4 linked regions of the Tamandua tetradactyla genome follow. The protein of the gene in region 4 binds, or shares a complex with, the protein of the main gene of each other region. Links are inferred from orthologs where the notes say so. Each region holds a gene or a part of one and is shown on either strand. Other genes may lie near its edges.

Region 1 (7,667 bases), on a different chromosome or scaffold from region 4:
AGCACCTCTGCCCTGGGGCATGCGCTCGCAGGCCCTGGTGGAGCAAGACATGGGGTTCAGACTGGACGCGGGAAGGGGGCCAGCGCGCAGGTCGGCATGGGGATGTCAGGGGCTCTGCAGCCTCCTCCCTCGCCAAGCCAGAGAGCCCTTCTCAGAGTGGTATGTGTAGTATATGAAATAAGGTATACCGGACCCATGGAGGAAACGGATTAGACTGAACCAGTTATTGAAATAGTGAGAAAATGGCTCTGTGATTCTCTGTTCACACATAACACAAGGTCCAGGCTAGGCCCAGTGCCTTGGCCACCGCGGCGTGGGGAGCGGCTGGGACCTGGGGTGCAGTGTGGCCTGGGGATGTCCGTGCCTGCGGGAACTGGTGGCCCTGTGCCCCCTGCTGTGCCCTGCTCTCTGCATGCAGCTCCTGGACAGGAGCCCCTGGGGCGACAGGCAGGACACCCAGCGGAGGGGCTGGGCAGTGCGGGGCGACACCCACCTCCAGGAGGCTCATGCTCAGGAAGAACAGCAGCAAGTAGGCCGGGGCAAAGAGGATGCGCTCCAGGAGCAGCCGCCGGACACCTGCCCAGGGGGTCTCAGGAGGGATCCAGCGCTCCAGAAAGAGGTAGAAGAAGTGGCTCAGCGGCCCTGTGCAGAAGAACCTGGAGCCCCCAGTGGGGTGAACTGGTGACCCGCGCCCCCAAACCCTAGGTCCTGCCCCTGCCCCCCTGGGCACCTCAGCACTGACCACTGGGCCTGCATGGGCCTTCTGGACGATGCTTTCCAATACTGCTCCAGGCGTTCTTCCCTGTCCTGAGGAGGCCACACTTGTCCCTGCTTGGCAGCCTTCTCCCTTGCCCTCTCCTTTGCTGGTTCCGTACCCTCCAACTGGCAAGGCCTGGCTGCTCCCCACCCTTATCAGCTCCTCTCCCCTCTAAGGGAGCCCTTCCCTGAGGGTCCCAGGCTTCCCGGGTCCTGGGCTGTGGCCACCTTTGACCGTCACATCTGTCAGGAACAGAGGCGTCTCCTCTGTAGAAGGAAAACTCCGCATAGGCAGGACCGCGTCTTGTCTAGCACACTGCTCCTGGCCGCCGTAGCCATGGCGCCTAGACGGGCCCTGGCTCACAGAAGGCGCTCACACTAAAGCCCTAAGCGGAGCTCTTAGACTCTTCAGGTAACTAGCAAGGGCAACACCTGGAGCTGCACAGGCACCACTGCTACCTTTCATTCCACAGGACGAAGGGCACTGGGAAGGGAATGAGTCCAGTGCCTGGCCTTGTGGGGTGAGGGGCCTGCAACTCCAAAACATTCAGCAATAAAAAGGGGAGCAGGGATCCAGGACTCTTTCAACTTCTGACACTGAAATGATCTTTAAACAAGTGATTCACAGTTGTTTTTTCCCCACTATAAGACATTAAATGCCCAATAGCAGTGATTCTCAGCAGGGAAGAGAAATAAAATGTTGGGGATGAGAAGACTATGTAATTGGATAATTCCTTTGGGGTGCTTCTGATACATTTGCCCTCCCTGGAGAGTTTCTGCATTAAATACATGAGGGGAGAGACACGAGGACTGACATTAGTGTGCTGACAGGCACACAATGGTACTATGAACTTTGAATTTTAAAGAATCCCTCCAGATGCAGAAGACTTCGTAACAACCACTGAGCACACTCTTCTCAGACAGAAGCTCACGGTGGGTGTGGCTGGGTAAGACTCCCGAATCTCTGCTTTTGCAATTCAGAAAGTGGCTCACAAACTGCAGAATTTCAGAGGGATACCCAATTCTTTTCTGGTGTTTACACCATGAAAATATCGGCCCTATCTGAGTTGGTTTCACTCTCCCACGAGCCTAGGATGTTTTCAGGGTCTCTCAGTCTTGGAGTCTGATTTTAGGTTCTGGAGAGCTATGTTGTCCGTCTCTCAGTCCATTTTAAAATGCCCCCCACCCCTAGCCACCCATACAATTCAAAATAAAAAAGCATACTAAATTACAAAGTAAGTGAAGATAACTCCAACACCATTCTGATTTTTCCCATCATGATTACTTCAATGCTTTTTAAAAAAAGATTGCTTTTTCAAATTAGATGATTCAAAAAAACTGCTTTGTTGATTCTTAGTCTGCTTTGGTATAAACCAGCTTTATTGACACTCACCCATAAATGGCATATCTGAGAGGCCCAATGACATCTACATTTTGGGAACGTTTTTCTTTTTTCTGGTTCTTCTCAATTAGCTGAGCCAGGAAGTTCCCAAGTGCTGACAAAATGCCGCTGCAGACAGAGCAATCAGAAACCAGGGCAGTCAGTCTGAGCGCCCCTTCTCTGCGGGCATATTCACAGGTGCTCGGGGACCCTGCACGGGTGGACCGAGACAAGTCTTTAAACAGGCTGTCAGGTGGGCCACGGGGGCTCAGCAGGCAGGAATGCTTGCCTGCTAGGCCAGAGGACCCGGGTTCGATTCCCGGTGCCTGCCCATGTAAAAAATAATAAACAGGCTGCCGTCAAAGTTCCCTAAATGGAGCACAGGACTTAGCAAACGCACATGCACACACACACATACATGCATGCAATGTTCACGCACACACATGCCTACGGGGAAAACTGGAGAAATCTGAGTAAGGCTGGTGCCTGTACCCATGTGTGTTTCCTGGTTGTGACTACACTATATGACAGTACACTACAGCTCAGCAAGAGTATCCTGTGGTGGCGGGAGGGGAGGAAGGCGAATGTGGCTCCCCAAGGACAGCAGGAGAGTCCTTGAGATGATGGAGCACTTTCACCCTGCCTGTGGCACAGGCCGGAGCTGCTGGGCCCGCCTCCTCCATGCAGTAACGGGGCGCTCTGTGGGCAGCACTGTGCCAGGATGCAGCGGTGACCCTTACCTCTGACCTGGGCCTTGCCCCCCAGGCCCCTTCCCCGTGCCCCATCCCCTCCCCAGGCCTCACCCCTCAGTCCCCTGCCCTATGCCCCCCAGCCCCTCCCTGGACCTCAGCTCCCAGGCCCCCTGCCCGGCGCCCCCCAGGCCCCCTGCCCTGTGCCCCCCAGCCCCTCCCTGGGCCTGGCCCCCCCAGGCCCCTGCCCTGCACCCCCAGCCCCTCCCCGGGCCTCAGCTCCCAGGCCCCTGCCCTAGCCCCCCAGCCCCTCCCCAGGACCTCAGCTCCCAGGCCCCTGCCCTATACCCCCCAGCCAGGCCCCTGCCCTATACCCCCCAGCCCCTCCCCGGGCCTCAGCTCCCAGGCCCCCTGCCCTGCACCCCCAACCCCTCCCCAGGCCACAGCTCCCAGGCCCCTGCCCTATGCCCCCCAGCCCCTCCCCAGGACCTCAGCTCCCAGGCCCCTGCCCTATACCCCCCAGCCCCTCCCCGGGCCTCAGCTCCCAGGCCCCCTGCCCTGCACCCCCAACCCCTCCCCAGGACCTCAGCTCCCAGGCCCCATACCCCCCAGCCCCTCCCCAGGACCTCAGCTCCCAGGCCCCTGCCCTATACCCCCCAGCCCCAACCCGGGCCTCAGCTCCCAGGCCCCCTGCCCTGCACCCCCAACCCCTCCCCAGGCCACAGCTCCCAGGCCCCATACCCCCAGCCCCTCTCCGGACCTCAGCTCCCAGGCCCCTGCCCTATGCCCCCCAGCCCCTCTCTAGACCTCAGCTCCCAGGCCCACTGCCTTGCGCCCCCCAGCCCCTTCCCGGACCTCAGCTCCCAGGCCCCTGCCCTATGCCCCCCAGTCCCTCCCTGGACCTCAGCTCCAAGGCCCCCTGCCCTGTGCCCCCCAGCCCCTTCCGGGACCTCAGCTCCCAGGCCCCTGCCCTATGCCCCCCAGTCCCTCCCTGGACTTCAGCTCCCAGGCCCCCTGCCCTGCACCCCCAAGCCCCTTCCCAGGCCTGGCCCCCCAGGCGCCTGCCCTGCGACCCCCAGCCTCTCCCGGGACCTTAGCTCCAAGGCCCCCTGCCCCGGGTCCCCCAGCCCTTCCCCAGGTCTGGCCCCCCCGAGACACCCGCCCCCGGCACTCGGCCCGCGCACCTCGTGGTCGCCTTGGTAAGCACGGGGTAGAGCCGCAGGAGACGAAGGTACCCGGCCAGTGCCCGCCGCGGGAGCGTCCCGAACCCGGCCTCGCCCCGCAGCCTTGAGGCTACCGGCGCCATCGCCTTCCCCGAGTTCCCTGCCACAGACCCGTGGGGTCAGGGTCCGGGATCCGGGTGACAGACGGAGGACGGAGGGGGGGAGGTCAGGGTCCGAGGGGAGGAGCGGGGGTCATGGTCCTGGGGTCAGGGCCGGGGGTGGTCAATGCCGGGGGCGGCGGGGAGGGGCCAGGGCCGGGGACCGGGCGGTAAAAGGGCCTGGAAGGGGCCCGAGGCGGGCGCGCGCCTGCGCACACGCCACTCCGAGACCCGCGCGACCCCGCCCCCGGGCGCGGGGGGCAATGGGAGCGCCAGGGGGCAGGGCGCGCCGCGGCTCCTTGACTGGATGGTTCCGGCGTTGCCGGGCTCTCGCGAGAGCTGACGGGAGCGCGCCAACTTTTCCCCGGGAAAGTCTGAGGCGCGGGCGGAGCGGCGCGATGGTTCTGCCGCACGGCGGGCGTCGGCGCGTGGAGCCGGGCGCGGACGGCGAGGCCAGCCGGTGAGGGTCGACCCCTACCGGGGCGCGGCGCGAGGAGCGGCGGGGCGGCGGGGCCGGGGCTGCGCGGAGAGACGGGGCTCGGCCCTGGTCTTGGACCCGTCCTCGCCCGAGGCAGCCGCCCCGCCGGGGAAGTGGACAGAGTGCGGGGCCCGGGCGGCGCGGGGCGGGAGGCCTCCACGCTTCCGGGGCGACCCCGGGGCTGCCCCCGACGAGCCCGGGTTTCTGCCCTGCGGTCGCTGCTGGAGCGTCGGGGCCGCACCCGGTTCCCGCGCCTCGTCTCCGCGCCCCGGTCCCGGCAGCCCGCACTCCTTGCCGCCCCGGGATCTTCTCGGCATCGTCTCGCCTTGTCCCGTTGTTTTCTTCTTTAGATACTTGTCCTTGGGACCCCCTTTTTCCACAGCTGTGTCGGGATCTTCCCCAGAACCTGTAAAACGAGAATGAAGTCGGGTGGGAGGGCGGAGGTGGACGAGAATGGCGGGACAAGGCCGGGGGCCGGAGGGCGCCCCGAAGCCCAGCCCTGCGCGGACAGATGGGCCAGCAGCTGGGCTCCGTGCTTTATTCTCGTTGGTCGAGTCCTCGTGAAGCCCCAGGAGACAGATGCCGTGATTGTCAGCGTTTTGTACTTGAACCTGGGGTTTGGAGATGTGAGGTTCATACCTGCAGGCTGTGGAGAAACCTGTGCCCTTAGCGCGGCCACCCGGCTCGCGGCTGCTGTCCTTTCAGCAGATGCAAGGCTCTCCTAGGAATGAAACTGCTCTTGGGTGCTGCAGCTGGGGTCTAGACGCTCACTTAACCCTGACACAGCCGAGGAGCTACGAGAGCCCCGTGGGCAGTGGGCAGTGGGCAGTACCCTGGGCTCAGGCTGGTCAGGGGAGAAGAACGCAGCACAGACCACGCTGTCACGGGAAGAGTAGTCAGTAAACGGGAGACATTATTTTGTTACTATTATCCTGATTTCTTAGCTTTTGTAGGAGTCAGAGTTAGCAGTTTTTGAATCCACTTAATTCGACTCACTTGATGTGAGGAGAAGACATGGGTGATTCGGAGGAATGTAGTGTGGGAGGCTTATTTCAATCATGACCTAGGCCTCAGAATGAGCCTGAGTGCTCAGCAACGTTTGGAATACACTTTTTCTGGGTTTACAGGTGAATCTCGATATTTTAGAGATTGAACAGTCATATAGTATGCTGAAGGTTTTGTTCCCCATTGCTGCTGTGACAGATTACCACAGGGTTAGCTGCCGACGTAATACTGCCTCTCCTTGTAAGGCTGTGAGGTCACAGGTCCTGCTGCCAGGGTGCAGTGGGCGCATGCCCTCTGGGGCCGCCCCTCACCTCCTCCAGCTTCCACAGGCCACTGCGTTGTCGCCTTGTGGCAGACTCCATCCTCAGAGCCAGCGGCGTAGCACCTTCCAGTCTTGTCCTCTGGCTCTGGCCCTTCTGCGGACCACTGTGGTCACATTTAGGACCCACCCAGATAATCCGGGTTATTGCCCCATCTCAGGATCCTTAACTTGATCCCATCTCCAAAGCGCCCTAGCCGTGCAGGGGCACGTATTCACAGGTGCCAGGGATTGGGAGGGGGCACCGTTTTATTTCCCACAGGCGGTTGTACTCTCGTGATGTAAGGGCCCTAATCTTGGAATATGGTCATTCTGCTCTTCAGTGGAGGGGACCCAGGTTTTCTTAAGCAGTTCTGTGTCTGTTTCTGTTTATAAATCAATAACAGGTGAGATATGTTATGGTAACTAAGGGCCTGAATTCTGATCAGATTTGGTTTTTATATATGTCCATAAATTTTCCTTTCCTGGCCCCTGTTTTGGATATTTAGCTTGTTTAGATTGCTTCGTCTCTCCCCGTTATAAATAAAGCTATGATGAACATCTGTATATTAAAAACAAAGCTTTTCTGTACATCAGTTTCCCTGGCTTTGGAAGTAGCATTGCTGGGTTAAGTGGCATCAATATCTTAGAAACACTCTCACCTTGCAGAGAAATCTAATAGTGCTCAGATGGACTGGTCACATAGCTTCATCAAAAGAATTGTGGTATCCTAGGAGCGTTGAAACACACAGCAAGAGGCTAGAGTCTGATCCTGGGAGATGTGGGGTGGCAGAAGGGAAGGAATAAATATCCATGGAGAGTTGGGGAAGAACTGTTCTTTGGAACAATGTACTGCCCTTTGGAAGAGCTCTTAGGGAAACCGTCAGGAAAGCAGGCTGGCACAAGTGGGAGCGGGTGTATCTACTTGTGCCTGTGAGGCCGAGGCCACGAGCAAGTAGAGTGCACGCACCACCTCTCACCCCCCGGCCGGCACTAATTCAAGACCCGTACATGTTCCCTCTGCCGACTGCTTTATAGAGTAGCTCATGTATTTGTATTCAGACAGAAAAGCCTGGGGTATGGATTCTTAGCCATACGTTTTTGAGGAGTGGAGAATGTAAGTAGGAAATAAATAGGGCTTCTGCCCAAAATGTATACGCTTTAGAATCTGTAATCTTGTCCATTAGATGGGATCACACTGTAGAGTTAGAGTATGAGCAGTTTGGTGAGATTCTAAGGTCTGAAATCAGAGCAGATTTGAATAGTTCTGGGATCAAAAGTCTTCATCCAGGTACTTTATTTAAAGTTTGTGCTAAAAACTGTAAGAAGAGCTATTAGAAGAGCCTAACCAGAGAGAAGCTTGAGAAGTTTGAGACGGGTATATTGATATTATAGAACTGAGAAAGGTAAATTTCCTTGAGAAATAGTTCTTCTCTCAGAACAATTCTGTATCTCTATTTTTTAATCCATGTTCAGTTTGATATCTAGACCCTAGCATCCCAGAAGGACATACTGCATTTTTCATGTTTAGTTCTGCTGCAACCAATGTTTCTGTAACTCCAGTTAGCATGCAGTTGTAAATAGGAGAATGATGTCAGTAAAACCTGGAGACTGTACTGGTTCATTTGTGATTTTTCCTAGGCAAGGGGAGGCAGGGAGGGACCAAAAGAGAGGGAATAGATTATAATCTTCAGTAGAAAAGGAGAAGTCCAACAGTATATATAGTTGTGCATATATAC
Region 2 (7,296 bases), on a different chromosome or scaffold from region 4:
CTTTCACCAAACAAAGGTTGACATTATGTTGAGGCTACAGTCAAGCAGTTGTTCTGTCTCATCTTCAGGTGATAAAACCTCATACTGATCTTCCCAAGTGGGTGATATTTGTCAAAACTGGTTCTGTGCTGAAGCCATGTCTCATGAATTCAGTCCCTTGGGGCCTTCCAGCGCTGGTTCTGAGAGCTTGGCTTGGCTCTGAGACCCTGAAGTTTCCTGGTCCATCCTAGTCTAGATGGCATACTCAGGATGGAGTGGAAGAGCTTGCACAGTTGTTCTATAGAAGAATTTGAAAATTAAATCTGATGAAACATCATCATAATATCCTAAATATTCTCCTGAATTAGGCTTAATTTAAAAAGTACAGCTGATTGTAAGCCGTAATGGGATAACTGATGATATGTAGCCATTTTATTGGCTAAATCATTTCATATAGCAGTTTAATCCATAACCGAAGTGCTTTGGTAACTTTCATTCATATATTTAAACACCTGAATTCTTAGGATCTCCTCTTTTTAAAGTAGTTCCTAAAGACCATACATAGCTCATAATCATTCCACTACTTCCTGAGATGAAGAAAATCCAGCTCTGTAATCTACGAAGCTAAAATGCAATCTACGGGAGATTATTTAGGGGAGCTTTGGCCCTACAAGATTGCTAATCCTGGTAGTTCATAAACTGTTCCAAAGTCTACAAGTCCCAAAGATTAGAGGGTAGAGCAAGTTCAATGCGTGGCAAGTTCAATTGATCAGTTTCCATTGAGAGAAAGCTAAATAAATGAGAGGAAATGATCCAAAGGGATCATTACCAGAATCTATCTCATTTTCAGGCTTTAATAATTTATAAAAGTCAGTCACATTTCTTTCATACTTTCAACATTCCCTGCCATTAAATGAAACAAAACAAACATACAAACTCTAAATTAATTGCCCAAGGCAGTGATTCTGAAGGTTGAAAGGATGGTATTCCCCTTATGAGAGTTACTAGAAACACTTGATTGGAATTTTCAAAGGATACTTTGCCAGTGTCTGATACAACTCTGTAGGCAGGGGTCACTTCCAGGTGAGTCACTGCTGATGAGTCATTCATTCAGTAATCTTCTATTACTAAGTGCCAGACATTGTACCACAGACTGGAGACTCAGGGAACAAAAGCAGAGACACTGCCTGAAAGGCGTTTACAGTCTGGGGTGGCAGGGAAGGGGAGGAGACAAACATTAAATAATCACACTGGCAAATGCAGGCTTGCATTCAATGATCAGTACTAGGAAAGGTGCTCAGTGGTAGGAGGGATTTAACCTGTCTGAGGGAGAGTGGGTTGAAGAAGGCTTCCATAAGGAGGTAAGGCTGGGATTTGAGGAAAGGTGAGAAAAGTTTTCCAGGCAGAATTGCTGAAGAACTGAAGATAAAAGCTATGTGGATAGAGTGTAGAGAGGGGAAGATGTACGATGGGGCTGGGGTGGGGGGTGGTGAGTTTTGGGGGGGATGGCTAGAAGGAGACTGACCATGCAAAGCCTTGACACCCACATTGAGTTTGTATTATTTCAGTCAAAATTGGGGGGGGGGGGGGAATTGGGAGAACTGCCTAAACAATTTCTTTTAACGATGAATTGAGTAAGAGTAATCGTTTCCTTTTTATCTTTTGTTTTTCCTTTTATTTTTCTCTCTGTGAGTGTCTGAGCATTCCTGCATTCCAAGGTTTCTGTGGCCAAGCTCCTTTCCCTTTCCCTTTTTATACAGTCCTATGGATTTTTTTTTATCTACCATACCCTCTGTTTCCTTGTGATTTTTAACCATTTGACCCTCAAACGTGTGTGTACACACAAATGCATATACAATAATATACACATATGTACATACAACATGCACATATATACAATTATTTTTTAAAAATAATTCAGAGATGAAGTGTTACCAGTGTCCTCCACATACATATTTCCTGGAAGAACTCTTACCCCAGCAGGGTAGATGGTAAGCTGTCTTTAACCACTAATTTATTACATAAAATGCTTCACATAACATTTTGTTTTTGTATTAATTTTCCTCTTGTAGCCTTTTAAAGACATTTTTAAACTTTCATTCATTAGAACTGATATGCAAACATTTTATTTTCTTTCTTGGCTTTTTTGACCTTTGTTTTCCTGTTTCTCCTGCCTTTTTTGCCACTGAAATTCAAAGACAGAAAATATGATTTCCCTTTTGAAGATACCTTAATGCCTTTCAGGGCTTGGTCAGGAAATCCTGAGTGGTCTAAATGAACCTCTTTTTGTTATTATAAAACCTGGGAAAGGAAGGTGGGACTGGGCCAAGTGTGAAAATGTTCAAGTGGTGAGGCAAAAGGTGGCATGGGGGGAAGAAAAGGGAAAATGTGAGTAACAGAGAAAAATGTGAAGAAAGAGTGATGGAAGGGAGAAACCTTTAAAAGCCAACTTAACTCACTCCCTACCTTAAGTCCTAACTCATCCTGCCCCCATGATAGTCAACTCTATTTTGCCAACTCAAAATTTTGGCTACAGTTAGTAATTTGTCCTTTGAGATTGCTGAACTGTTGCTCCTGTTAAGTGCTCTACTGAAGATACAAGAATCCCACCATGCCTTTATGGATCTGGTATGGAGCTTTCCATGCATTGTAGTGCCCACAAACTAACCTGATGACGGACTCAAGAGAAGCCTTAAAGTAGGCTCTAGTGAAATTTTCAGTGACTCAAGACTCCCCTTCTGCAGGTTTTAATTCTGGGCCATGCTGTTTGCTGTACTGTAGCGGAGCCTCTCTGTGCTAATTCAGCCACTTGCAGGGTTTACCACATAAATTTTGGAAAGGAGAGTGATTTCCAGTATCATTTAATCCAACTTCATTTGGGTTTTAACCACATTCCAGCTGTGGGTGAAAGATCAACTACTCTGCCTCAATTTCATCAACAGTAAAATGAAGTTAAAATATCACCTGTCTCAATAGGGCATTATGAAAATTATGTAAGGAAATGACTTAGCACTTTTAACCATGCACATAGTAAGTGCTCAAAAAAATGTGAGCTACTACTGTTAAAACTGACAGATTAAACCTGATATTGTAGATATGAACTATTCTATGCTAGTGTGATTTGTCATGGGTCTATGAAGTCAGAACTATTTTTTGAATAACGCTAGGAAGAAATTTCTTTTTTATTCTCGTTCTCTCAAGATGACAGTATTTTTCCAGAGCTACCCGAAAAGTGAAAACGGGAACATATTGATAAAAAAGCAGCTATGAAAATCCAGTTGTCTATTGAGACAGACAAAAACCTAAACCGGATGCCACTTTTCTCATTAAATTCTTTATTTTCGAAGTTACTTGTCATAGCATGTTACTTATGTTAACTTGAAATGGGATTATTATTTTAAATGAGTTAACATTTTAAAATCGTTTTATTCTCTAACGCCCATAGACACAACCTATTGAAACAAAAGCTCTTTGAGGTCCGCAATAATTTTTAAGTGTGTAAAGAGAACCCCGAAACCAAAACGGTGATGAACCAATGCTCTGGCGCAACCCATCATCAACACGGCGGCCGCCCGCCCTCACACCTCTGCGCTCTCCAGCCTCGGCGACTTTCTCCTCGGCAGGGAAACAACTTCTTCCGTTTCTGCAAGCCAGAGCCAGAGCCAGAGCCCCACCCCTCCCGTAAGAGCACCTAAAACTTGGCTCTCCCCGAGCCGGCTCCGGATCTCGCGCCCTCTTCGGCACCCCCGGCCCCGGATGCTGCGCGCGCCCGGGCACCCCGGCCTCCCTCCGGCATTTGCTCTGCCCGCCGAGGGTGATTGCCTCAGCTGAAACCCTCTCAAGGGTCGGGTCTGGACAGCCCGGTCCGATCATCGATTTTATTAAAGGACGGTACCTAACTAGGCTCGGCCGCACCGGAGGGTCCCTGGAGAACGGCCACGGAGTTACCGGGGGCCCAGCGGCGGCAAGGTACGGGACAGAGTTCACCCACAGGCTGCACACTCCCTACCGGCCCCCGCCTACCCGCCGGGCTTTCCCCGGGCCCCGCCGCGAGAGGGGAGGGGCCACGTGCCCTCGGGGGCGTGGCCTCCGCCCCGCGCGGGAAAGGGGCCGGCGCCGCGTGCGCGCGCATAGTCGGTGGCCGCGCGCAGCACGCTGGGGGCCGGGATGGCGGCGGCGGCGGTGGCGGCGGCTGGGAGCGGGTCGCCCCGGGAGGAGGAGGGGCCTGGTGGGGAGGCGGCGGCTTCACAACCGCCAGCCCCGACGAGCGCGCCTGGGGCCCGTCTCTCGAGGCTACCTCTGGCGCGAGTGAAGGCCTTGGTGAAGGCAGACCCCGACGTGACACTCGCGGGACAGGAGGCCATCTTCATTCTGGCGCGAGCCGCGGTGCGGTGCGCCCCGGGGACTGTGTGGAGCGGGAGGGCAGTGAGGGGCGGGGCGGGGCGGCTGGGCGAGGCTCAGCAGTGGGGGGCGCTGCCAAGTAGGTGCTGGGAGACCGAAGGGAAGGGGCAGATACCTACAGTAGTTGTGTTGCTTTGTTCATACTTGTGGGCATAGTCTTTAATTTGCTTTTTCAGTGCCTAACAGAACTTGTAGGAGTCACGGGTGGGGTGAATTTACAAGTAAGGGAGGAGGGCCGCGTCATTCTGTGCTGCTAAGGGAAGGGGGAGGAGAGGAATAGACCTTTATGACGTCCAGAAGGACCTTTAATTCCCATGAGAACCTCCCCATCTATTCCCAGAACCGCTTCTTCTCCGTCCCCCGCAGGAACCTATCTGTTCACCGCAATTGTGCTGGAATCCACTGATAAACTCTTGTTTGTTTAACAGGAACTGTTTGTGGAGACCATCGCAAAAGATGCCTACTGTTGTGCTCAACAAGGAAAAAGGAAAACGCTCCAGAGGCGAGATCTGGGTAGTGTGTCCCTGTGGTACCTGGGAGCGAACAAAGGAGGTTGGCCCAGGTTTCCCCATTCACTGCTTGAGGGGGCCTCGCTGTGCCGCTGTGCGGTGAGGGTGCCACAGGGTCTCTCACAGTGCTGTTTCCTGTGGGCGTGCCGTAGTGCCTGAAGGCTCTACTTGAGAGTTTGTGGGCATTGGGTAGCTGGAGGGGCAGAATATGAAAGGAGGTAGGGGTCTCCAAAGCAGGCTAGGCCCCTTCACACTCTGCCCCGTGGTATCAGGCTTGACATGTCTTTTTCCGTAGAAACTGTAGGTTTGATTTCTGGCTCTTCTCTCTAGCTGGTATTGTACTGCCCTTTTACAAACTTTCATAGATCATTTGCTCAAATTTCTTTGATGACTTTCAGAGCAAAGGGGATAAATCGATTTAGGTTTAAACCAGGAGTGTACTAAGGACCTCTTTCACCTTCCCCCAGTGAACAGCATATGCCCTGACTTTTCTTACTCTTGTGGGGAGACAGTTGATGTGTAGGAATTGATGGTGGAGCAGAAATGGATCTCAATGCAGGCTCAAGACAGCAAGGGGCACATTTTATGAATGTTCTCTTTTGCGTAAAGCTCATGCCCTTCATTGTGTGGATTGTACCGTTTTGGGCTGAGGTTCAAAAGACCTCAATTAATCAGGTGTCTCTTTTCCTTGTTTTTCAGATAATGCAATAGAAGCCGTAGATGAATTTGCTTTTCTAGAAGGTGAGTTCTTCTATCAGTGGGTAATCAGTTTCTTCTGTTCTAATGATCTGAGTTCACAACCTTACAAATTGAATGCCTGATTTGTCCTGTTTGTGTTGGGATAATTCTTTCTTCCTACTTCCTATTAGTATAGGAGAAACTAACTTGCTTAGTTTTCCTCCTTTGGGGAGTTAGAACTTCTACCTGAAAATTGCTAGCCATAAGGAAATAGGAGGGAATAAAAAAAACCCCATGAATGATGGATTCAGAAACTTGATTCCTACTTTGGTTTCTATCCCTAGATAGAAATCTTTCTCCTCATCCTCATGTTAGAGATAAACAACTGCCAACATTTAAAGGGCAACTTTTTTGTTCCTTTTTCTTCTTCAACAATCTGTGTAAAAAACATTTTTTTTTTGTATGCAATGAGAGTCTGTATTTCACTTTGTTCGTAGGAATTTTGGGTTAACTCATGTATACTAACTAAATCTTGTCATTGAAAAAGTAAACATTTGAAGCATCTCAGTTTAGCTACCTTTTCTCAGAACTATTTCTGTTACTTAATTCTTAAATCTGATTAGTTTATTTTTCACTAAACAAAATTCTGATTGAATAGCTTTTGGAAAGCCATGTGCCCTCAGTTCATTCTCCCTGCCGTGGTGTTCTCATTATCTCCTTTAAAATTTACTACCTTCCAGAAACCTTTTCTTGATTTATTTATTTCACTTGTTTTTTTAAAAAACTCCTTTCTTCTCCATCTCCATATTTACCTAGACCCCAGGCCCTTTTCATGTATCTTTTAAATGTCTTCTGGATACTTGCGTTCTTGCTAATTCCCATGGCTATCTTCAAGACTAGATGAATTTAACTGCAAATTTGTATATTAGTCTTTAACTTCTTTTTCTGCTCACTCATTTTTTCTTAATTTAACTTTAAAAAATTTCTTAATTTTTGTCCTTTTAGTTGCCTACCTAAGGCAGTCAGCTTCCTGTGAAGTTCTCCAATCAAAGATTTTGGAGCCTGTTTTACCTGTTCATATTTAAGTATCAGCCTCTTAAAGCAATAGGTGATATGATCAAAGTTGAGTTTTAAAGAGGTACTGCTGCTTCCTGGTGGACAATAAATTGGAGGATGCCAGGAATAGAAGTAGAGGGATCTTAGGTGATTTTCTACCCCACACTTCTCTGTGGCTCTTGATATCCAAATCTGCCTCCTCTTTGCATTCCATGGCCAGTGTCAGCTACTAAGGAGTTTATTCTTCTCTTCCATAGTATGGGGCAGTTCTTAATGTGCCATCTAGCATTTACCTTGTATTGTTTAGTTGTTCCGTGTATAATTGGTATCCTCTTATAGACTCCAGCCTCCAACGTGAAATAGTGCCTAGCCTGAATTTTTAATAAATGGCCGTTTATGGAGTATTTGATGTGTATCTTCATCCTCCCCTCCACTAACCTCAGTAATTGAATCCTTTTTCTCGATTTTGACTGTTTTAGCGACTGTGGACTCAATCTGTATGTCTGGTAAAATAATGTTCTTATGTCCTTAGATGTGTTTGTTCTAAGTAGATAATTCTTTTTCTCTTTTTTGGTCAAGGTAATATATATCTATGTTTAAAAAAATTAATGGATTATGAAATGAAGCTGCTAGCTTCCCCCCACTCTTGGTGTTCCTACTTTTAGCTTTTCAG
Region 3 (8,229 bases), on a different chromosome or scaffold from region 4:
GGGACCCTCTGTCAGAGACGCTGCTGTTGGGCTCCTCTGCCTTTGGCTGCTTACAGAGTGGGTGCATTAGATGCCCTCCCTTAACAGGGAAAGAATAGGAAAGAACACAGTCTACCTGAAGTTTCTGAAAAGTGGAGAGACGAAAGTCCCACAGGCTTTTTGGCTTCCTGGAGAGCAGTGCTGCTAATCCAGAAGGGTCCTCACCAGGCTGATTTTTAAAGCATTTATTTTTTGTTTAGGATTCGGCTTCATCGTCACTTTCGTTATCATTGTCCTCCTCCTCCTCGTCTTCTTCCCTCTTCTCTTTAAGCATTTTCAGGTATTTACTAGCTAAAATCTTCTTTGGCAATATATCTTAAAAACATAAAGCTTACGTCAGCAATTGGTTATGGTATTCATATGGATATGAATACATCGATGCAAATTTCAAAATGTCCTAGTTCCTGCACTGACCTCTAGAATAGGTCTCAAAACAGGACAATTGAGGCTATGTTTGTAGGTGAAACATCAGAGAAACTAGCACTGCCTCCTGACTGGTGCCAATGACCTGTTTCTAGCACATACCCTGGTGTTTCTCTATGCTGATGACCCTGCCCAACCTACCTGAGATGGGCTGGGTGGACCCAAAGGCAGACTTAAGCTCTTTTTAGCTACAGTCCTGTTACCCAGCAGCAAATATTATTTTCCCTGTTCTGGAACTCAGAACACCATACTGAGTATCCCTTTCCATAGCAGGGTGGATCCTGAGGGGGTGGGGTCTGCTAGGCTCACCCACCCGGCGAGCCACACATTCTTGTGCAGACTGTTGACTCCATTATTGGTCTAGAACCACATAACAAACATATTCAAACAGAAGACTGAAAACGTCTTCTTGTGCCAGGTCATGGTAAACTTTGGCACCTGGAGAAAGCACCAAAACGTCTATTTCAGTGAAAGCAGAACAGGAAAAAAAAAAGCTGTAAATTACTAAGCATTTTTTAACCAGAATGTTTCAAAGGCTAAATACCTTCAAGAAACTGAAAAGTTTCCGATCCCTCTGCGGTAGTTGATAAATCACTGTAAGTCAGTGCTTTCTTTTCTTTTCCACTGCCATGTTTGTAGGAATAGGTGGCAAGATACTGAACAAAGAGTTCCTTAAACAAAACAAAAAAGTAAAATGAAAGTAAGCTTTGAAAACTTATTATAGATAAAATTTAACTTTTTAATTACATTAAGTTTAGATGACTGAAAATTACTTTGGTTTCTCAAATTCAATTATAGGAAATCACTGGGGAAAAGAGAAACATGAGGTCAGAAAGAACGCAAGACCCTATCAAAGTTAATGGGGAAGCAGGCACTTCCTGAAAATTTAGTTTACATTTCTAACTTACAAAAAATATTTAGAAGTGATTAAGTGATGAATCATAAACGTTTAATGACCAATCTCTACACCTAAAGGAAGGAGCATGAGACATTCAAAAAGTGTTTGGGTCAAGGACACATTTTTAGTCATCTATCTAAATGCACTGTTTCTACCGGCTTACTAGATCTATAATAAAGTCAGCAACTTGAAGCTCAAAACTGGCACATCCTCATTTTGCCTAAACCATTTTCCTTATGCCAGGAACACATACATAATCCACAGACTGACCTAAAGCAACAATCTGAACTGAACCTCTCTCCCTCAGTTTTTATTTCGTATATTTTAATTCATCTAGTTCGTTTAATAAGGGATTAAAGAAATGCCTGCCTAAATCTTGGCTCCTTAATACTAACAGATGAAATTGTACAAGAAAACATCGAAATCCCAATATTACATGTGGAATGTGCAAATATTTTCCTGGGCTCTGAGTAATTACGGCTCTGGCAAAAAACAGGTACGAAACTTGTGGTTTCCCTCCCCCGCCTCTCAGCTCTAGTCCAGCATACTGTAGGGACACCGTGTCCCGAGCCAGAGGGACTGGAAATAGGAAGTAAGGCAAGTTAAGGCAATTAATACTACAGCTGAGGCACGGCCCAGCCTCCGAACAGGAAGTGTTCGGAGACCACAAGCAGCTCATCTATTTTTCACGGAATAGAGCACTAGGATAAATTGTAAAATTAAGCTGTGGGATGTTCTGCCTAGGAGATGTGGGGTGATCTGGGGAGCAGGTAGGCTCCCAGAACTCGCTGCTCGCTCCGTCTCTGATTCCGGGCGGCAAGAAAGTTTCAATTATTTACTTTTTAGTTTCTCTCCCAGAGGACTTGCGTTCTGGGGGCCGGCTCAATGGAATATGCCAGAGGACCGCCCAAGCGCGCCGCCACGGTACGAGAAAGGGTTCGCGGGCATTTCACGGATGTTTAGGGGGAGGTGGGGCTCCAGAACCGTGGAACAGAGCGGACACCGGCAAGTAACAGCTCTGCGGCTCGGAATACCCGGACACGAGAAGGCCCAGGGCCCAAGAAACCCGGGAGCGCGGTGGGCGGGGCGCTGGCGGGAGGGCACGGGAGGGCGCGCGACGGAGGGTGGCAGCCCCGCGGGCTGAGCTGGGCGCAGCTGGGAAGGGCGTGGGCGGAGCGTGCGGGCACCGGGGCGCGCGCCGGCGGGTGCAGAGGCAACTTGGAGAGGCGCGCGAGCCCGCGCAAAGAAGCTGGCGGCGCGCGGGCCGAAGAGAACCGGACAGCACAGCGGGACCCAGCGGGGCGGGGCGCGGCGGTTAGGGGGCGGTCTCCACCCCCGCCTCTCACTCCTTCCCCGCACGCAGCCTCACCGTAGCCTTGGCTGTGAGCACCAACGCCTCCTGGTTAATGCTGGACACCTCGGGAGAACTCTTCATGATGACCCGGATGCGGGACAGGGGCAGCGACACCAGCCGTTGCTCTCCGCATTTCTCTTTACCAACGACCACATCCGCCATCTTCCCGCCCCCTCCCCGCAGGCGGTAACCGCGGCTGACCCAACCGCGAGGCACGCCGCCTCCGCCGCGAGCGACGTGGCTGGCAAACAAAGTTGGGGCCGCGGAGCCGGCGTCCCGCTGCCCCGTGGGAGTTGTAGTGTCGGGGAGGTGCGGAACGGGAGCGGACTACAGGCTCCGTGATGCTCCGCGCCCGCCGCGCCTCTGCGCCTGCGCGGACTGTGCCTGCGGAGCGTCCGCGGACGCGCCTGGACCTTCCCCTTTGGGGCTCTCCCGCGTTCCTCACGGCTGGTGGTCGAGCGCGGGGATGGCGTGCCCGCAGCCAGAGAGCGCCCGCCAGCGCCTGGAGTACGCGGGGGCGAGTCTGGAGCCTGCTCACGGGACAGGCCCTGAACGGAGGGGTGAGAGGCACTTTTACAGGAGCCAGGGCGGAATCCTGGGCTTTACTCTAGAAGGAGCTGTGGGGGCGGGGTGTTCACCCCTCTCAGGAACCCGAGGGGAGGCAGGGTGCTGCCGACCCCGATTTGAACGCCAAGTAAGAGTTGTGCCAGTAGGTGAGGATAGGTTTCAAACCCCGGTTCTTAGCAGCGCATTTCCTAAAGCTTACATTGTAGAGTAAAAGACAGAAAATAAACGAATATATAATATACTGTCAGGTAGTGAGAATTACCATGAAAGAAAACGAAGCCGTGCCAGCAGACACACTAACGGGGAATACTGTCTTATCCAGGGTGGTGGGGAAGGCTTACCGGCTGGGGAAGAGAGAAGGCAAGCCCTAGCAATGTCTGAGAAAGCGCTTTCCTGGGAGAAGGAACAACAAATGCGAAGCCCCTGAGGTGGGAGTTAACCTTTTAATGATGCGAAGAGAGACCACCGCAGGTGTGCTAAATGTGATCCCAGAAGTAGTCAGGGTCTAGACTCTGTCCTTTTTTTTTTTTTTTTTCTTACATGGGCAGGCACCGGGAATTGAACCTGGGTCTCTGGCATGGCAGGTGAGAGCCCCACCACTGAGCCAAGGTTGCTTGCTCCCTGTTGGATTTCATTCTAAGAAAAATGGGAAACTGGTGCAGAGTTTTATTACATGAATGATGGTTATGGCTTAAGTTACAGAAGGATTCCTCTGTTCATACTGAGCTGTTTTTTATAACCTGGTCATTCCCAGAAACGTTATGTGACACCTGAGTATTTATGTATTTATGTGACACCTGAGTCTCAAAATTAGAGCTCTGAAACTATGAAAACCAGCAGTATCCTATTCAGGAATTGTTTTAAAAAGTTGGAAAACGGGTCTGACTTCCAGCAGAGCTATGAATGAAGCAGATCTGGATAGGACTGAGGTAGATCAGGATATAGGGTAAAGAATAATATCGTCCATATTTTAAAACTTCAACTTCTGTTTGAGACCAAAGGGAGAGATGTTTATTTTGCGCAAAATTTATATTTGGGTAGTGCATTTCCTAATTTCACTTGTATGGTCAGCTTAATTGAGCACAGTGAGTACATGGACTCTTGACTAGAGTGTGATTATGGGTTTGTCGGGGTTAGTATGATGCCCCCAGTATATCCCAGAGTAACTTGGGCAGTGAATAAAGAAGTATTTGCAAGACCACCCCCTCTTGGGGCACTGGGGAAAAAGGAGGAAATACTCAACTTGCCATTTGAAGTGTTTCTGATATTCTCGCAAGCGGTGGAGACAACCAAATCAATAGTCTTGAGCCCTCAATCTTGGGGTTCAACCCTATGAAACTTATCACTGCCAAAGGATAGGTTAAGCCTACCTAAAATTAGGCCTAACAAAGTTCCTTGATGGATAGGAGAAAAAATATGGAAATATTTAAATTTACCATCAGGGAATCCCCTGATACTGTGTCAAACTTTAGGGACACCCAAATCGACAAGACAACCCCTTGATCTTGCGGCTTACTCTTGTAAAGCTTGTGTAGGTAGCAGAGAAGCTTAGCCTACCTATAGGTATGTCTAAAAGTAACTTCTGAAAGACCTCTTTTGTTGCTCAGATGTGGCCTCACTCTAAGCCCAACCCTGCAAATGAAGTCATTGCCCTCCCCACTACATGGGATATGACATCTAGGGGTGAAAGTCTCCCTGGCAGCGTGAGAGATGACTCCCAGGGATTAATCTGGCCCTGGCACCATGGGATCAACAATTCCATCTTGACGAAAAAGGGGAAAAGAAGTGTAACTAATAAAGTGTCAGTGGCTGGGAGAGTTCAAATAGAGTCAAGAGGCTGCCCTGGAGGTTGATCTTACACAAGCTTCAGTTAGACCTTGCTATGTATTGTAACCTGCCAACCCCCAACCAGGACCATTCCAGCCAATCCTAAAGAACACCTAGGGCAATATATAAGATCCACAAGGGATCCATGCACTAGAGTAACTTCCCAGAAACCTACAACCTCCAGATGGGTCCCTGGTCCAAATAAGTCCTGAAACTTAGCCCAGCCTCTCCGGAATATCAGATAGTTCCATCTCCCTATCCCATATTAGTGACAGACCTTTCCAATATAAAAAATTTAGAATTGCCATAGCCCAAACACCCGTAAAGAGAGATATGGAAAGATCAAAGGTTGATTGTGGAGTTATACAGTGAAGATAGGATTTAACAAATGAACATGAATGCTGAATCATTAAATTGATATCTTTCAGTCTCCAGTATTTTAGAGCAGCTAGAAGTAAAAACCTAAAATTGTGAACTTGTAACCCATGTCAAACTTTGAAATATGTTCTACAACTAATTGTGGCGCTGTACTTTGAAATTTATAGCTTTTTTGGATATATATTATTTTCACAAAAAAAAAAGAAGGAAAAAAAGTCGATTGTGATGATAAAAATATATTTAAGCCCTCTAATCTCCTATGTTCTGGAGCAGCTAGAAGGAAAAATATGAGAGGATCGTATGGTAGCCCATGACAAACTCTGGGATCTGTCCTGTAACTACTTCTTGAAGAGTGCTTTGAAAACTATTGCTTTTTTATTTTTTTGCTTGCTTCATATATTTGTTATACTATGCAATTAAAAAAGTTTAAAAAAGGAAAAAGGGGCAGAGAGAAATGAGATAAAAAGTGTCAGTGGCTGAGAGATTTCAAACAGTCAAGAGGTTATCCTAAAGGTTATTCTTATGCATTATATAGATATCCCTTTATATGGATATGTATTGGAGTGGCTGGAGGGAAGCATCTGAAACTGTAGGGCTGTGTTCCAGTAGCCTTGTTTCTTGAAGATGATTGTATAATCATATAGCTTTTACAATGTGACTGGGTGATTGTGAAAACCTTGTGTTTGCTTGTCCTTTTATTTAGGCTATGGAAAGATGAGTAAAAAATATAGATAAAAAATCAACAAATAATAGGAGGGACAAAGGTTAAAATGAATTGGTAGATGGAAATACTAGTGGTCAATGAGAGGGAGGGGTAAGGCATATGGTATGTATGAGTTTTTTTTTCATTTCTTTTTCTGGAGTGATGCAAATGTTCTAAGAAAAGATCACGGTGGTGAATACACAACTATGTGATATTGTGGGCCATTGATTGTGCACCATATAAGGAATGTTTGTATGTTTGTATCTTAAGATTTATCAATAAATATGTTTATATATATATATATATATATATATATGAAAAAAGGATTTCTCGCTCTTTCTCCGCCGGCGGCGCTCCCACCGCCAGCCAGCCCTCCTCTCCCTCTTTCTCCGCCGGCGGCGCTCCCGCCGCCATCCAGCCTTCCTCTTCCCCCTTCTCCGCCGGCGGCGCTCCCGCCACCATCTTACCCTTCTCTATCCCCTTCTGCTCCGGCGGCGCTCCATCCGCCATCTTATCCTTCCCTTTCTCCTCCTACTGCGGCGGCTGGCGCCCTCCCGCCACGCTTGGCGCCTCGGGCCGACTAGGAAATTCGGACGGGCGTTCTCCCAGGCTGCGGCGGCCGGCGACTCTCCCCGCGTTCGGACCCCCAAACCGGCTGGCACTCTTCCAATCCACTTCGGCTGGCAAACCACCCAATGGTGAGAGTTTTCCAAAGTTAAAGGACCCACAGCACCTTTTACTGGTGGAGCCCGCAGACAAACGTGTGCCACGAGCGCCACCTACTGGGCAGGATAAGAAAAACAGAACCCAGAGATTTCACAGAACAATCTTTCAACCTGTTGGGTCCAACACCCAGGGAAATCTGACTAAATGCCCAGACGTCAGCAGAAGATAATGGATCACGCTCAGAAAATTGAAAATATGGCCCAGTCAAAGGAACAAACCAATAGTTCAAATGAGATACAGGAGCTGAAACAACTAATGCTGAATATACGAACAGAAATGGAAAACCTCTTCAAAAATGAAATCGATAAATTGAGGGAGGACATGAAGAAGACATGGGCTGAACAAAAAGAAGAAATAGAAAAACTGAAAAAACAAATCACAGAGCTTATGGAAGTGAAGGATAAAGTAGAAAAGATGGAGAAAACAATGGATACCTACAATGATAGATTTAAAGAGACAGAAGATAGAATTAGTGATTTGGAGGATGGAACATCTGAATTCCAAAAACAAACAGAAACTATCCGGAAAAGAATGGAAAAATTTGAGCAGGGGATCAGGGAACTCAAGGACAATATGAACCGCACAAATATACATGCTGTGGGTGTCCCAGAAGGAGAAGAGAAGGGAAAAGGAGGAGAAAAACTAATGGAAGAAATTTTCACTGAAAATTTCCCAACTCTTATGAAAGACCTAAAATGACAGATCCAAGAAGTGCAGCGCACCCCAAAGAGATTAGACCCAAATAGGCGTTCTCCAAGACACTTACTGGTTAGAATGTCAGAGGTCAAAGAGAAAGAGAGGATCTTGAAAGCAGCAAGAGAAAAACAATCCATCACATACAAGGGAAACCCAATAAGACTATGTGTAGTTTTCTCAGCAGAAACCATGGAAGTTAGAAGACAGTGGGATGATATATTTAAAATACTAAAAGAGAAAAACTGCCAACCAAGACTCCTATATCCAGCAAAATTGTCCTTCAAAAATGAGGGAGAAATTAAAGCATTCTCAGACAAAAAGTCACTGAGAGAATTTGTGACCAAGAGACCAGCTCTGCAAGAAATACTAAAGGGAGCACTAGAGTCAGATACGAAAAGACAGAAGAGAGAGGTATGGAAAAGAGTGTAGAAAGAAGGAAAGTCAGATATGATATATATAATACAAAAGGCAAAATGGTAGAGGAAAATATTATCCAAACAGTAATAACACTAAATGTTAATGGACTGAATTCCCCAATCAAAAGACATAGACTGGCAGAATGGATTAAAAAACAGGATCTTTCTATATGCTGTCTACAGGAAACACATCTTAGACCCA
Region 4 (8,328 bases):
GCAAAGACTCTGGAGTCACGCTGAGGGTTTAATCCTGGCTTTGCCTTTCATATCATGTAACTTTGGGCGAGTTCCTTTATTTCTCTAAGCATATCCATAATCGGTAAAATGGAGATGACAGCAGTGCAACCTCCTAGAGTTTAAGGGTTAATACCTGAAAGCACTTATAACAATCCCAGGCACACAGTAGGAGCTCAATAAATGTCTGGAGTTGTTCACAATCTAGTATGGTATAGGGTGTCCAGCAGAGGAGCCAGTGAAAGCTCTTGCCTTGACTAAAGAGCAGCTCCCTTGCCTACGAAAGAGCAGCATCTGCTGGTCATTGAAGGTGATGCAGGATCCCATGTTTACAAAGGTCTGACCCAGCCCACATGCCAGAACTGTATGTGGCATGTTCAGTGGGTTGCCAAAAGCACACTTTGAAAAACAAGCAGGATGAAACAGAAGTCATTACTTTTAATAAGAACCTTATTTTATTTATACAATGCATTATAATTTTTTCAAGACTCTTCACTCATTTATCAAGAAACCTTTTACTATATTCATTTAACAATGCCAACCTACACTTCACTACCCATCAAACTCTAAGCATTCAAGTCAGAGACAAACAAAAAAGTGCTTGGGGCACTGAAGGGAAAGAGAAAAAAGCTAAGAAAGACCAACAGAGATACTTTAAAAGTAGTTAAAAGGAAAAAAAAAGTAGTTAAAAGGAGACGCTTTGAGGGGGGGGAATTAGATTCCTGAGCACCATCAGATTTTCTTTAAGGTTCAGAGAGGTTTTACAAAATCATTTTTAAAAGACATGAAATTAGAACTAAGGAATCAGAGGAACCTGCACTTCTGGATATTAAGCAGGTTATCAAAGTTCCAAAATTGGAGAAAATGCGAGAAAAGGAGGGAGAGAGAACATGGAAATGGTAAATGGAGGAGAGATAGAGAAAGAGAGACAGAGAAAGAAAAAAGAAACAGAGGAAGAAAGTTGTACCTAGAGGAGATGAAGTTTGGAACTTGTCATGAATTAAAGAATGAAAGGCATAGTCACAAGTCTGGGAATAGACTGTAAGAGAAAGGCTGGAATTTTACACCTTCCAGGTGGTGAAGAGAAATCCTCAAGTTGTATAGTGGCAGGCAGTGAGGTGTAACCTAAACTAAGCCATCTATTGTGCTAAGAATAAGACACTGGCACCCTAGCTTGGTTAATTATCCTCTATACTGCTAATTTGAAAGCATATATGTCCAGAGTACAGCCAACCCAGTAAGTCGAATGCCTATAGGCAATGCAAAAAGGCTCCAAGCCAAGTGAGTCTGTAGAAACTAAGAATCAACTAATGCTACTGTCAAATGAAGAAACAACAGAACCAGTTTCATTTTTCTCCCATTTTTTTTAGTCTCCTAAAGTCACACCATTCTGATCCCTCTTAATAAGTTGGTATTGCCAAATACTGTATCTCAAACATAGGCTTATCATACTCAAAGCCCAAAGATTTCCTGAGCTTCAACTACCTCTGTGATTTGGAACACAGCAAGCAGCAAGGAAGTTATCATTACTTTGTTTCTGGAGGAGGAAATGAGGATCAAAAATGGCCTAACCATGTATATAACTAAACATGAGAGATCAAATTGGCTAATTCAATTAGCTGGTCAGAATTCCCCTTGTCAAAAAAGTCATAACCTTCAGACTGATTAAACAAAACAGGATTCTGATACTAAGATGCTCTGAGTCTAGGAAGCCCTGGTTTTAATGATAATTCTAGTCAGTTTTATTTCAATTTTCTTAGGCACTTCAGCCTAAGAGTACTCTGCCCAGCAGGGAGAAGCTTCACATAAACATGTACCACAGTTTCAGCATGGTACCTTCCAAGGTGCCTCCATCTCCCCACCCCTTTCAGTTGTCCACCTCCTCCTCTTCATTCTGCTCTTCTTCTTCCAGTCTTTCCTCATCTTCATCGTTGTCCTCATCCCTGCTCTTGTCTTGCTCTTCTGAATCTGTCTTTTTGTCTCTGTCCTTCTTCTTTTGCTCTGAAGCTTCCTTCTTGCCTTTCTGTTCCCGCCTATAGGCTGCAAGGAGGAAGGAGGCGGTTAAGAGGTAGGTTTGGAAGAGTAAACCAGACTTCGGCTGCTAACTCCATTCCACAGCTGGAAAAGCTGAGGCACTGAAGGAAAAATAACCCGCCCAACATCACAAAACAGATCTGAGATGGTGCCAACTGAACTGGTTCCAAGTCACATCCAGTATTCCCTTGCTGGACTTAAAAGGTACCCTTGCTGAGAAAGCCTCAGGGCCATGGATGATCATCTTCTAAGAGGCTGAAAAAAGGAAGGGTCATTACCTTCCAGAGCTTCTTTTAGGGGAGTAATGAACCGCTGGAACTCCATCTCTTCCATGGCCGAGAGCACGTCACTGGCGTTCAGTGTCTTGCGCTTCCCTTTCATAGCAAAATTGTTTGCACTAACGGAGGACAGGAAGAAAATGAGCTGTCAGACCCCCTCTTGCCACGCATGAAGTGGGTGGAAAACGAGCACCCTGAAGTGAGTGAGGAAACCTACGTTAAAGATGCATGACTTTTTGTTTCTCCCTTCCCTGTACCAAACGGCTAATGCGAAGTTATTTAAGAGATTGTGAGAACTGGGTAAGGGTCGTGAACCTCTGTCCAGGTTCACAGGTAGCACCCAAGCATTGGGGTTTATGGGCGCCGGGACGCTAAATCTGAGCCAGGGGGGTCTCTCTGCATCTCCCTAAATGCCTCAGCACTAGCTGTACTCTGGCTAGCTCTTTCTGCTCACCACGACGTGGCGTATAGTACGAAGACGCTGGCAGCGCGGGAGATGGCGCTCCGGGCCTCCTTGGAGATGTTGACACCTTCCGGGAGCTGTGAGAAGGGAGAAGTGAGCAAAGATGCTAGCCCAGACCTGTTTCCCTCCTTCCCGCTCGTCCGCCCCGGCCCGCCCGCTCACCGCCTCCTTGATGATTCTGGTGATGACAGCGTTGGGCAGGTTTAGGTCCTCAGGCCTCTCCGCCATGGCCGCCGCAGGGGCCCGCGCCTCCACCTCAGTTTTCCTCAGGGTGCTACTGCGTCCAGGCTTCCCGCGTCCCTGCTGTCTGACCCACCCAGGCTTCCGTTCCGCCCCACACGGTCCACATTGTATCCCATAGTGCTCTGCGCGTCATACCCACCCACTTACCCCAGCCACGCCTCCATGTCAGGTCGCCGTAGCTTCCGAAAGTTTCTCTCTGCAGTCATTTGGGCTCGCCGGACCTACCGGCAGGCCCCATAGTGCCCTGCGCCCTCCTCCCCTGTTCTGTTTCTCTGTTTCACACCATCACCGAGTCTGGAGGTTTCACACCAAATTGAGGATGGGTCATTGAGGCTTCCGTCCGTTCCCCATAGTTCTCCGCGCCGCTGCCTGGCGACGGCCCGACCGGGGGGCTGGCGCGGGAGGAAAAGTTGTGAACCCAGCCTCCTGGGCGGGGCCTACCCACGCCCGGCGCCGTACTGCGTTATTCCACCGAGTTTCGGGCTCTTAGCGGCTAGGCATCGGCTTTGGGCCAGCGGAGCCAGGCCTCCGAAGGCCGCTTCCTTTTCCCGAAACGAAGCGGAGGGTATTTTCCCAACTTTACCGTAGCTGACGTTTATCTTTAATTTTTTCACTTCGCGCAATTTTGTAATAATCATATTAATGATCATTGTTATCTAGGCTTTCCTGAGCGCCAACCACTTTGTCGGCACAGCGCTAGTGTTGATGGCAGAGAGATGGGTATGGTTAGACCTCGGGGGCTCAGTTCAGGGTGGGCAGGTAACCAAAGGGTGTGAAGCAACTGGGTGTGATGAAGATGCAACATGGCATTTAGCATTCGAAAATAAAACCTGTTAAAATTGTATTGGTTCTTTAGTACATTAAATTGTTCATCGTACATTTTCCCAGTCAAGAACATTACCATGGTTTTATAGTGGCGGTTTAAATTTTATCTTTAATTTTCTTAAACATGAAATTTAAGGTTTCCTGTTAAAAAACGTAGAAATAGATCTCACTCTCAGTGAGAACTAATGCTTGCTTATTATTATTTGGTGAAGCATGCTATCCTCTCAAGTCGGGTTTTTTGTTATTATGCTTTTGACAGAGACGAGGGTACAGAGGAGAGTTTTCCTATTATGAGAAAACCGGCAGAGCAAACACAATGATAAATGACAACTGAAATTGCTTCAGTTAGAGACTATAGGACCTGGCGAGGAACTGTCCACATGGTTATAGCACTCCTGGCTTAAAGAGGTTGGACTAATTAGCCCTAGCTAATTACCGTGGTATTGGAATTGGGCTTAGTGTGGTCAAATATTTTGATTTAATTTTAAGAGGAGCCAGAAATCTGTATATTATGGACTACTTCAGTATTTAAATATTGTCTCATTTAAAGAGCAAGCCAAACAAAACAACTCAGGCGAAATTACAGGCTAAGAGTTTGCTATCACTGGCCTAAATTATAAACTCTTTAAAACAGGGACTTTATCTTCTTCATTATTTTTCTCCCTGTCCAGAACAGGTCCCTCAAATATTCAATAGTCAAATGTGTTGAATAAAAGAAAGAAAAAATGAGCACTGCCCTTATAGTTGTTGGGGTTTTAAAGTGGTAGTGATTGTGTAGAATTTCTCTAGAGAGAGAAGATGATATTTGTTGAACTGTTATATGTCATACATAAAGGTACATGATCTCATTTAAAGCTTCTACTATCCTACTCAGGGATTATTTCCCTCTATTTTATATGAGGAAACAGACTTAAAGAACTGGAATCACTTGCCTAATACCATAAAGCCATTATAAAATACATGGCCTCTGATGCAGTTGCATCAAATCCACTAATTTGCTGTTTGAGCAGATCCATCCGTTGATGGTTGGTATTTGGGCTACCTGCATGGGAACTGGAGCATATTGAAGAATAAAGCATGTCACCCAAAGGAAATGTTGTTGTTCTTTGTGTTTTTGAGCCACCGAGGGCATTTCTATGACTATATTAGTTGTAAATTGAAAAGCCTTTTTTGTAGATGGTTGCGTCTTCTTCCTAATGACTAATGAAGGGAAAAAAGAATGGATGTTACTATTTATTTTGAGTCATATGCCAGACCTTTTAACATCTGCTAGCTAATTTTTATAATAACCCTATGAAATAGGCTTATTCTCATTTTACAGATGAGGAAACTGAAAGCTCAGATTTTTAAAGTCCCAAGTCACTCAACTGTTAAATGGGCAATGGGGAGATTTTCTGAAGTCAATCTGCTTCCAATTTCTTCAACTCTAATTCATACCAAGATGTTTTTATACTTGCTTTTTTCTCAATTCTTAATTATCCTCTGACCACCATTTACCTTTATAGGTTGACTAGAAATACTTTATTCTTTGAGTTCAAATTAAGGTGAAAACTGTCTGGTTAATGTATAATGCTCCCTAATTATGTGGTTGTTGTTTTCTCCAGAGAGTTAGAAAGCTGCAATGTTGCCTTTTATTCCATACCATTCATAGCTATGAATTTGCCAGATGAGAGCCAATGGGATGAAACCACCTGTAACGTGCCTGTTTGTCAGCATCCACAATGCTGGGAAGCTATCCGCAGGATCGAGAGGGGTCATCCTCGAATCCTGGGTTCCTGCAAACCTCTCCTGAACACTGAAGGTGAATCAGTCAGCCTGTCTCTTTCCTCACAAGGTCCTTCACCTGTTCCTGTTTGGCCTCTTTTATCCAGGTGACATATCATTTGTTTTCTTCTGGTCTGCTTTCTCAGAAAAACTCCCAGTTCTCACCATTGTAAATGTCTCAAATTCCTGCTTGCGGGCTAAGAAACGTGCTCACCGTCATCTGTCAGGACTTACCTTCGTTAAGACTCACACTTTATTGTCTCGGTGTTTGAAGTTTGACTACAAATTTCAAGGCAGGTGGATTTTCATGGAATCTTCCTTTAGAAACCTACTATGTCAAAATTCTAGTTTGTGACTTCCGTTACTGATACAGAAGAATTTGAGAAAACTAGATTAAAAAGAAAACCCTAGTTCAGTCACAGAAGTGGTGAATAGGGAGTTAGAAATAAAAATAAAGCATTTCTACTTGTGTTCTAGGAGTTGGTTAATTTGTAGCTATCCCATCAACTGCTATAGGTCACCAGAATACTGTGTCCGTACATACTCTCTTTTGTATCTTTTTTTTTAAGCATAAAACTTTTTGTAAGCTCCTCAAAGCAGAAGGAATGGCTTTTCTTGGAACCTCCTACCAAGTCTAGGTACCCAGTTAGTGCTTATTGAGTTGGGTGCTTCATATAGGCACACGATTGGAGCTTATTTGAAGCTAAGGGACAGGTGTCTATGGAAACTTTAGACTTTAAAAATCTGAAGACCCTGTTGCCAGCCAGGAATCACCAGTGGTGACTCTCATAGTGGTTTCTTTTATCCTGTTCTGTGTATTTTATTTTTATTTTTATTTTCTCTCCTGTTCTGTTTAAACAGCCCGAGATTTCTCTCTGGCTAGAGAAATAGGAAAGGGTAGGGCTACTTTCAGGTTCTCTAGGATTCAAGTCCCGGGAAAATAGCTGCATCTCCCAGCCAGAACCTGTAATGTGCTTTACATCCATACACAGGTACATACTTCCACCCGACTCCATGCTAATGGTGTGTAGAATAAAGCTGTGTCAGAGTTGCCTCATCCAGTCAGCTCCTAGATTATGTGCATTCTTCTTTTAGTATCTCTCACTTGCTAGTCTTATTCCTTCTATCCTAAACCAGGTCCTTGTAACCTCACGTGTGGGTTTTTATAGTCACTTCTGAACTGGCCGCCCTGGTTCTTCCCCTCGAAACCACCTTACATACTTCCAACAGATTAATCTTACCAAAATATTGCTGTCCTCATATCATCTTGTTGCTCAAAAACCCTGTTCATCAGCATTTCATTTATTATAGAAGAGATCCAAACCTTCCTATTCTGAAGTTGAAGACTCTTTACCATCTGACTCTCCTCTAATCACAGAGTCTGTCTTCTTTGGCACCTCAGAGCAAAACTGATATTCTGATTCTGCTTTTCTCACTCTGATGCTGTTTATGCCGTTCCTGGAAATTTAAAGACTCTTGCCCCTTTCTGCTTCACTAACACCCTGCTATGACCTATAAGACCCTATAAGGTCCTGTCTTTCTTGTGGCCCTCAGCTTGTATTCTTCTTCTACTTATTCATTAGACTCCAGTCACAGTGTTGTTTCTAGTCCTCAGACATTGCACACTTCCTACCCCAGGGCTTTTGTACACTCCACACTTCCCACCCCAGGGCTTGTGTACCTGCAGTTTCTTCTGAGAGGAACACTTTTTCCCTAGATTAGCATTTCTCAATGACTCACTATTGACATTTTGGGCTGAGTAATTCTTTGTTGTGTGGTGGTGTGCTGTACATTACAGGATGTTAGCAGCTTCCCTGCCCTCTACCCACTGGCTGCTTATAGTACTCCACCCCTGTTTGTGATAACCAGCAATATCCCCAGACATTGTCCTCTGGGGACAAAATTGCCCCTGGTTGAGAAACACTGCCCTAGATCCTTGCTTGGCTAACTCCTTCCTGTCATTCAGGCTTAAGCTTAAAAGTTGCTTTCTTACAGAGGCCTTCCTTGATCACCTATTTAAAGTTTCCCTTATCCTCACTATCATTAAACCTTGTTTTTTTTTTCTTTTTTAACTCTTCAGTTCTTATGAATTGAAATTTTTTTGTTGATTTGTTTGCATGTTCATTGTTTGTCTCCCCTCATTGGAATGAAAGGTCCGCAAGAGGAAAGACCATGTTCTACTTCTGTGTCTTTAATAGCACATAACATATAGTGGGAGCTCAATAAGTGTTTGCTGAATAAATGGATAAGTCCTCTGTCAAGACTGAATTTCATCATTTGCCATTAGTCCTGGGTATTCTCTCTTCCAAACTACTCCAGCATTTGTCCCTTGACATGCTTCGTTATGCTTTTATGCCTATGCCCTATTTGTCCAGCTGGATTTTAAGCCCTTTGAAGTCAGAAGCCATGACTTCATTCTTTAGTCACTCATTCAATTAATAAATGGGTCTTAGTTGAGGTCTCTGTGCTGGGCACTGGGGATACTGCATTAAACAATTTACAGTCTTTACCATGCAGGGACTTTCAGCCTGGTTAGGGATGCAGACAAGTAAATAGGCAAGGACCATTTTACATGATGAGTGTGCCCTGGTTGGGTGAAAGCACACAGGTAGGATTCCTAACTCAGGGTACTCTCCTGAAGAAGTAACATCTGTGCCTAGACCTAACATTTGAGCAGCCTAGTGGGTTGTAGGTGGGAGGTAG

What was found.
Region 1: POLE3 (region 4) and POLE share a complex: the UniProt entries of both Homo sapiens proteins name them as parts of the DNA polymerase epsilon complex. The link is inferred for Tamandua tetradactyla from reciprocal best matches to the Homo sapiens genes POLE3 and POLE.
Region 2: POLE3 (region 4) and POLE4 share a complex: the UniProt entries of both Homo sapiens proteins name them as parts of the DNA polymerase epsilon complex. The link is inferred for Tamandua tetradactyla from reciprocal best matches to the Homo sapiens genes POLE3 and POLE4.
Region 3: POLE3 (region 4) and CHRAC1 share a complex: the UniProt entries of both Homo sapiens proteins name them as parts of the CHRAC ISWI chromatin remodeling complex. The link is inferred for Tamandua tetradactyla from reciprocal best matches to the Homo sapiens genes POLE3 and CHRAC1.

What each region holds. Positions count from the first base shown.
Region 1 is NC_135331.1:1,212,209-1,219,875, reverse strand, and holds the start of POLE (DNA polymerase epsilon catalytic subunit A), read left to right. Parts: upstream 1-4,565; 5' UTR 4,566-4,607; intron 4,608-7,667. Other genes in the region: PXMP2 (peroxisomal membrane protein 2), read right to left, coding at 494-656, 2,150-2,266, 4,011-4,132. UniProt on the Homo sapiens protein: Catalytic component of the DNA polymerase epsilon complex. Participates in chromosomal DNA replication.
Region 2 is NC_135343.1:48,888,218-48,895,513, forward strand, and holds the start of POLE4 (DNA polymerase epsilon subunit 4), read left to right. Parts: upstream 1-4,141; 5' UTR 4,142-4,146; coding exon 4,147-4,365; intron 4,366-4,808; coding exon 4,809-4,893; intron 4,894-5,588; coding exon 5,589-5,630; intron 5,631-7,296. UniProt on the Homo sapiens protein: Accessory component of the DNA polymerase epsilon complex. Participates in DNA repair and in chromosomal DNA replication.
Region 3 is NC_135332.1:87,005,377-87,013,605, forward strand, and holds the start of CHRAC1 (chromatin accessibility complex protein 1), read right to left. Parts: upstream 3,006-8,229; 5' UTR 2,877-3,005; coding exon 2,730-2,876; intron 1,134-2,729; coding exon 1,007-1,133; intron 355-1,006; coding exon 236-354; 3' UTR 1-235. UniProt on the Homo sapiens protein: Forms a complex with DNA polymerase epsilon subunit POLE3 and binds naked DNA, which is then incorporated into chromatin, aided by the nucleosome remodeling activity of ISWI/SNF2H and ACF1.
Region 4 is NC_135328.1:33,728,545-33,736,872, reverse strand, and holds POLE3 (DNA polymerase epsilon subunit 3), read right to left. Parts: upstream 3,154-8,328; 5' UTR 3,022-3,153; coding exon 2,956-3,021; intron 2,871-2,955; coding exon 2,785-2,870; intron 2,450-2,784; coding exon 2,331-2,449; intron 2,059-2,330; coding exon 1,886-2,058; 3' UTR 455-1,885; downstream 1-454. UniProt on the Homo sapiens protein: Accessory component of the DNA polymerase epsilon complex. Participates in DNA repair and in chromosomal DNA replication.